Linked DNA regions of Anolis sagrei. The protein of the gene in region 1 purifies or fractionates together with the protein of each later gene. This does not show direct contact. Links are inferred from orthologs where the notes say so. Each region holds a gene or a part of one and is shown on either strand. Other genes may lie near its edges.

Region 1 (3,919 bases):
ATTTTCTGATGGTCTTTGGTGACCCCTCTGACACCCCCTTGCAACCCCCACTGGGGTCCTGACCCCCAGGTTGAGAAACACTGCTGTAGAGGAAAAGTGTTCCTGCCATACATCAACGGAACCACTGACTGCATAGGGAAGCTGATGAGGAAACACAACATACAAACAATCTACAAACCCACCAAGAAAATCCAACAAATGCTACGTTCAGCAAAGGACAAGAGGGATCCTCTCACCTCTGCAGGAGTCTACCGTATACCATGCATCTGTGGACAAGTCTACATAGGGACCACCAAACGCAGCATTGCCCAAACACGAATCAAGGAACATGAAAGGCACTGCAGACGACTCCAACCAGAGAAGTCAGGCATAGCAGACCACCTGATGAACCAACTTGGACACAGCATATAGCCCGAAAAAACCTACAACAACCCAGTGATTCCAGCCATGAAAACCTTGACAATACATTGGACTAGTCTGTTTTCCAGAAGGTCATGGAGGACCTTGTGGAAGGCCTTACTGAAATCCAGAAACGCTACATCCACGGCTTTCCCAGCATCTACCTAGCTTTTATATATGTGTGTGTGTTTGTGTGTCTGAGTTTATCTATGTAAGTTACTGTATTTTTGTGCTCATTTGTTTTTGGGTTTGCTGTACCCCGCCTCCAGCCATCAGGAGAGGGGGGAAACAGATAAAATGATGTTCCTAATCTCAGTCTTTCAGGGAAGGGATGCTCCACCTGAGGAGAGGATGCAGGAGGCACTGACAGGACGGGAAGAAATGGAGGAGAGGAAGGAAGGAAGGAAGGAAGGAAGGAAGGAAGGAAGGAAGGAAGGAAGGAAGGAAGGAAGGAAGGGCAACAAGGCGAGAGTGAGGAGGAAGGCACTCACCGGCAACACGGCTGAGCTTCCTTTGACGGCGGCGACTGCCACCCTCTGAAGGGAGGAGAAGAGAGGGCGGGACCACGCTCGGCCCCAAGATGGCGGCGGGAGGAGCCAGGCTGTGAAGAGACCGCGTTTCCCCTCCAACTACAACTCCCGATGCGCAACAGGCGGGCAAGGCGCGCTCGTCCGACACAGTCTGGCCGCGGTGCACTCTGGGGCTCGTAGTCTCCCAGCGAGTGCGTGCGTTTCCCCCTTAGCTTAAGCGCGCGCTCTACCAATCCCTCCGCGTTGGAGGGGGCGGGGCGTGTTTGGAGGAGGAGGAAGCGCCCCGCCCCTTTCCCTTTGGCCCGCTGACCGCGCTTCCTCCGTCCTCGCGGGGAGTCCCGCAGAACCCAATGGGACTGGCTTCCGTCGCGCGCCTCAGGCCCAGGCGGAGGGAGGTAGGAGCCTTCTCGGAGGAGCGCGGGAAAATCCAGCCTATTCAAATGCAATGTCTTATTGACGCTGTTGTTATTCGGTCGTGCCAAGTTGTGACTGCTCGCAAGCGCCGTCGGAAATAATGGCACCTAATGGACAGCCAATCTGAGTACTTTTCATAAGAAACAATACACTTACAGGGTTGTTGTAGGTTTTTTTGGGCTATATGGCCATGATCTAGAGGCATTTTCTCCTGACGTTCCGCCTGCATCTATGGCAAGCATCCTCAGAGGTAGTGAGGTCTGTTGGAACTAGAAAAAGGGTTTATATATCTGTGGAATGACCAGGGTGGAACAAACAACGCTTGTCTGCTGGAGCTAGGTGTGAATGTTTCAACTGACCACCTTGATGGCCTGGCAGTGCCTGGGGCAATCTTTTGTTGAGAGGTGATTAGATATCCTTGTTTGTTTCCCCTCTGTTGTTTTACTGTTGTAATTAGCCATGCAGGTGTTGACAAGTCTACATAGGGACCACCAAACGCAGCATTGCCCAAACACGAATCAAGGAATATGAAAGGCACTGCAGACTACTTCAGCCAGAGAAGTCAGCCATAGCAGAGCACCTGATGGACCAACCTGGACACAGCATATTATCTGAGAACACAGAAATGCTGGACCACTCCCACAACCACCATGTCAGACTACACAGAGAAGCCATTGAAATACACAAGCATGTGGACAATTTCAACAGAAAGGAGGAAACCATGAAAATGAACAAAATCTGGCTACCAGTATTAAAAAAAACTCTAAAATTACAACAGCAAAACAACACCCAAATACAGGGAAACTCCAGAGAGGAAACAATCTGGGACAGCTAATCACCTCTCAACAAAAGATTGACCCAGGCACTGCCAGGCCATCAAATGCTAATCAAGGTGGTCAGTTGAAACATTCACACCTAGCTCCAGCAGACAAGCGTTGTTTGTTCCACCCTGGTCATTCCACAGATATATAAACTCACTTTCCTAGTTCCAGTAGACCTCACTACCTCTGAGGATGCTTGCCATAGATGCAGGCGAAACTTCAGGAGAAAATGCCTCTAGAACATGGCTACATAGCCCCGAAAAAACCGACAGCAACTCAGTGATTCCGGCCATGAAAGCCTTGGACAATACAATACACTTACAGGCCCCTTCCACACAGCTGAATCAAATCCCACATTTTCTGCTTTAAGCTGGGTTATAAGGCAGTGTGGGCTTAGATAACCCAGTTCAAAGCCAATTTTCTGCCTTGATATTCCAGGCTATATGGCTGTATGGAAGGGCACTAAGGCTAAACCTCTATCCTGACTTCCTCTTTGCATCTTCTGGGGTTATCAAAACACATTATATTTAAACTGGATTATCTGAGTCCACACTGCCATATAAAGCAGAGCATCTTGATTTTATATGGCAGTATAGAAGGGAGGCCCAGGATGAGCAGTTTAAAGGACCCACCCTAAACTACAAACTCCAGAATTCTGCAGGTGGCAGTCACAGCATTTTAAAATGGATTGCAGTGGATAAATACTCATTCTACACAGCTGAATAAAAGCCCACATTTTCTGCTTCAAACTGGAATATATAGCTGTGTGGATTCAGGTAACCCAGGGCCCTTCCACACAGCCGTATAACCCAGAATATCAAGGCAGAAAGTCCCACAATATCTGCTTGGAATTGGGTTATCTGAGTCCACACTGCCATATATCCCAGTTCTAAGCAGAAAAGGTAGGATTTTCTTCAGCTGTGTGGAAGGGGTCACAGATTGTTCTTAATTTTGAGTACTTGCAGGTATATTTTTACCAAGCAATGACAACAAAGTATGCTAGTTTGTCACTCCTTTAGAAGAGTTGCAAAAATTCTTGAGGGTGGATTGGGTGACAGATTGTGTACTAGGTAAACTTGCAAAATTGGTTTGAACTTAGCCCTGGTCAGAAAGTTGTACACCTGTATGTAATGTACTGGATACATTTCCACATTGGTTTGATTGCTATATTTGTCAGAACAATATTATAGAGAAATGAGATGCCATGAATACAGTGGTGTTTGTTTTCTCACAATAGGCCTATTATTGTTTTTCTAACAATAGGCCAATTAAGTGGGACGATGGCAACGCTGTTGTGATGTTATTAATTCTTCTATTTAATTTGTAATATTTGAATCCAATGTATCAAGAAAAAATAATTCTAACCTGAGTGGCAGTATTTAAGGCTGGCTATGTAGGAAACAATATGTGGGTTTCTGGTTTAGGAAAACAGTAGCTGATGTTTGAGATTTGAGACTGATTGTGATTCTGTTCTAATTTTCTGTTTCAGGGTAAATGGGTTTGCCTGACGTTTTTCCTTCACTAAGGCAGTTCCATGTCTTGCTTGGTAAGCATGTTATTATTATTATTATTATTATTATTATTATGTTTATGCTTATGCTTATTTTCCCTGCTTTTTCTCTCCACAGATTCAAAGCGGCTTACATTAAAAGCTTTTTAATACAATTTAATATCTACAAATATACAAACATTAAAACAGAATTAAATATCAATAGTATTAAAAATTTGCAGTTAACATCCATAAAAACTGATGGA
Region 2 (3,919 bases), on another chromosome or scaffold:
AGGGCCTTGTCTGTGGTGGCCCCCCCAACTCTGGAACACCCTCCCAAAAGATCTTAGACAGGCCCCTACATTGGCAGTCTTTAGAAAGAACTTGAAGACCTGGCTGTTCCGATGTGCCTTTCCAGAATAGGAATCTCCAATAACAAGTCCTCAAAGCACTTTTAGTAGAACTAAGATTATTGCACACCACACACTGCACTTGCCCTATAATCCTCGTATACCACCTGCCACATCAGCACTTTTAATCCTGTACCCATTACTCTGGCCCGGCCCAGTTTGTATTGTGTCTTGATGTACTGTTTATTGCATGTCGTCAATATTGCTTTACTGTTTCTAATTTTGCTTTTGGTGTTATATTGTTGTGTTGTGTTTTGAGGCCTTGGCCTTTGTAAGCCGCATCGAGTCCTTCGGGAGATGCTAGCGGGGTACAAATAAAGTTAATAATAATATTAATAATAATAGTGCTGACAGTTCTGGAGGGAGTCTTAATTTTTTGTGTCTAATAGACTTAGCATGGGGATTGGGTTAACCAGTTAAAATTCATGAGTAAACCATTTTTTTTTAACCTGAAAAATTGGGGGGGGGGGTGAACCCCTAACACACCAACACCCCCCCTCCCCTCCAGCTACAGGCCTAGCACCTCCCTCCTAGATCTCAAACACCTTCAGATCTGAAACACCACGCCTGGTCTCGAATGACCATGGAATGCAGTTCAGCGTGGGAAACGCTGGCGGCACTTCTCCCTCCCGGCCGCAGGGGGCGGCAGAGAGCGCGCGGAATGCGCTGGCGGGCTCCCTCTTGCTTAGCCGCCTCTCGTCGTCCGCTGTCTCATCCGCTGGTATCCGCCGCCGGGAAGGGAAGGGAAGGGAAGAGCGGAGGCGCGCGGGGCGGGGGAGGGAGGGGCTAGGCAAGCAGGCAGGCAGCAAACACCAGCAGCCCGGCAGGAGAAGAGGAGGAGGAGGAGGAGGAGGGCGGCCGAGGCGTCGCGAGAAGGCCCGCAGACGACGACGACGACGAGGAGACGAGGAGGAGGAGGAAGAGAAGGCAGAAGGGAGAGGGCGCCTTTGGACGTCTCCTCGCCACCAGCGAAGGTACCGTCCTGGCTTCGGGCCTTGTGGGTGGCGTTCGCTCTGAGGGCTCGTCGAGGCCTAGTCTGGCCTCGGAAGGAAAGGGAGCGCCTCTTCCTCCTTTCGAGGACAGTAGCGGCGGCGGCGGCGGAGGAGGCCCCTTGTCTGAGGGAAAGCACAGGGTGTGTCCTCACGGGAACTTGACGCGCGTTCGGTGTCGTCACCCCTCCTCCCTCTCCCCTTCCATTAGGTAACCTTGTCTCGCCGCCGACGCTGCCAGATAACGCCGTTTGGAAAATGAACGCTAGAGACCAGGCCTGGGCCAACTTGGGCCCTCCAGGCGTTTTGGACTTCAACTCCCACAATTCCTAACAGCCGGTAGGCTGTTAGGAATTGTGGGAGTTGAAGTCCAAAACGCCTGGAGGGCCCAAGTTGGCCCAGGCCTGTGGGTCTTCCTTTAACCTTCTCCACATCCTAACTGGAACTGAGGGGATTCATAATCATAATAAATCTTCATTTATTTCCCACTTTTCTCCCACCAAGTGGCTTCCAACATGTTAAAATACAACGCAAAATCGTCAACCATCAAAGACACAAATAAAAAAACATAAGAAGCCATTAGTAAAACGTACTCCACTTTCATCTTATGCCCTTGCTTCTTAGCTACAACTTGCATTATCTCTTTCTCTTCTTCTTGTTTACAGTTGACCATGTTTTTAGGACAGTCGACACTATAGGTTATTGGGCGTCAAATTGTTGTTTTATATACTACTGGTTTATCTTGTAATGTATTGTGTGTTTGTTTTATGTGTTGTTTTAGGCACTTTGTGCCATATGTAAGCCACCCTGAATCCCTTTGGAGAGATGGAGGTGTGGTACAAAAATAAAGTTGTTATTGGGTTGTTGTTGTAGGTTTTTTCGGGCTATATGTCCATGTTCTAGAGGCATTCTCTCCTGACGTTTCGCTACATCTATGTAGACCTCACAATCTCTGAGGATATTTTTTGTTGTTGTGTCAGGAGCAACTTGAGAAACTGCAAGTTGCTTCTGGTGTGAGAAAATTGGCTGTCTGCAAGGACGTTGCCCAGGGGACGCCCGGATGATTTGAAGTTTTTATCATCCTTGTGGAAGGCTTCTCTCATGTACCCGTATGAGGAGCTGGAGCTGATAGAGGGAGCTCATCCACCTCTCCCTGGATTCAAACCTGCAACCTGTCAGTCTTCAGTCCTGCCGGCACAGGAGTTTAATCCACTGCGCCACCGGGGACTCCCATCTCTAAGGATGCTTGCCAAAGATGCAGGCAAAACGTCAGGAGAGAATGCCTCTAGAACATGGCCATACAGCATGAAAAAACCTACAACAACCCAGTGATTCCAGCCATGAAAGCCTTCGATAAAGTTGTTGTTATTATTATTATAAATATAAATTATTATAAGTAGCATTTAAAAATGCCAGGCTGTTTTCCTTCTACAGCAGCAGTTCTCGACCTGTGGGTCTCTAGGTGTATTGGGCTACTACTCCCAGAAATCCCAGCCAGTTTACCAGCTGTTAGGATTCCTGGGAGTTGAAGGCCAAAACATCTTCTACAGTGTAGACGTCCCTTTTGGTGGCGTGGAACACCCAGTGCCTCCTTCTCAGCGTTGTTGTCTTTGTGAGTGCCTCCATTTTTAAATAAACTTTCTTGGCTGAAGGAGCTCACATCTCAAAACATGTCAGGATTGAAGGAGGAAGGGAGGTGGTGAGGTGATTACTCCAAACCGGAAATATTAGTAACCTTTTCTTTCTTTCTTTCTTTCTTTCTTTCTTTCTTTCTTTCCCTCTGTTTTTTTTCAACATGGCCTTTTATACAGCCAACACCAAAGAAAAATGAAAGCCTATTTGCTTTGCTTTTGCAATACTGCATTGTCCAGGAAGAGGCCCAGTTTGAGTTAATTTCACTGCACTCTTCTGAACTGCTAGGATATTTCCATATGTATTATGAATTCTTAGGCTTGTACACTTTTTCAGTCATCCCCCCCCCCCCAAATCATTGCATCATCATAGGAAATCATAAGAGTGAAAGTAATTCCCAAGATCTTTTGGACAGTGTTGGTTTCCTTTCTATTTAATTGGCCTGTTTTATTTCGTAGCATCCCACTGTAAACTTAAGGGGGAAATGACACTTGAGTGCTCTGCAAAAATAGTATGTGATGATCAATACAAGATACTTCTTTAATTCTTGTGAAATTGCTCGAAGAATAATACTGCTGTATTAAGAATATATGTTGTTCATTTTAAGCCTTAGTTAGGTTTTCTAAATCTGAAGCCTACACAGTTAATGAAAATGTATTCCTAAATAAATTCACATGCAAAATGTTATGCAGGATTTGCTTGTTGAAGCATTCATTCCAAGATAACGTATAATGTAAGAGAAAGTTTATATTGTTTATAAACCAGCTGCTGATGTTTTAAACTGATACGTTTCTAGAGTACTAATGCAAAGTGGCTTATACATTTTTGAATCCAACTGTTTTAATACTACACAGGAATGTTCTAGATTGTCATATTATAAAATTCTGATAAAATAATGGACACTCCAAAGCACTAGTAGTAAAATTCTCATGGCTTCTAGTAGATCCCCGTGGCTATGGAAATGGGTTTTTATAACTAAATAAAGCATAATAATGTAAACATGATTTGAAATTCATCAAACTAAATTATTTAAAGTTCAGGAAGAGGAAACTTGAATATAACTATTAAAATAATGTTGTTCCAGTAAATCTGTTCTGCTTGGAACCAAGAGTTGGATTTAGTTCACAAACCTAAGTAGAATTCAGACTTCAGAAGCATAACCTTTTAGTTATTCTATTTGC

What was found.
Region 2: the proteins of STRADB (region 1) and CAB39 purify together in Homo sapiens (affinity purification with mass spectrometry; 3 studies listed by BioGRID and IntAct, counting the BioPlex papers as one, with this or other methods). This does not show direct contact. The link is inferred for Anolis sagrei from reciprocal best matches to the Homo sapiens genes STRADB and CAB39.

What each region holds. Positions count from the first base shown.
Region 1 is NC_090021.1:164,586,726-164,590,644, forward strand, and holds the start of STRADB (STE20-related kinase adapter protein beta), read left to right. Parts: upstream 1-1,186; 5' UTR 1,187-1,324; intron 1,325-3,653; 5' UTR 3,654-3,698; coding exon 3,699-3,710; intron 3,711-3,919. UniProt on the Homo sapiens protein: Pseudokinase which, in complex with CAB39/MO25 (CAB39/MO25alpha or CAB39L/MO25beta), binds to and activates STK11/LKB1.
Region 2 is NC_090023.1:228,951,651-228,955,569, reverse strand, and holds the start of CAB39 (calcium-binding protein 39), read left to right. Parts: upstream 1-882; 5' UTR 883-1,091; intron 1,092-3,919. UniProt on the Homo sapiens protein: Component of a complex that binds and activates STK11/LKB1. In the complex, required to stabilize the interaction between CAB39/MO25 (CAB39/MO25alpha or CAB39L/MO25beta) and STK11/LKB1.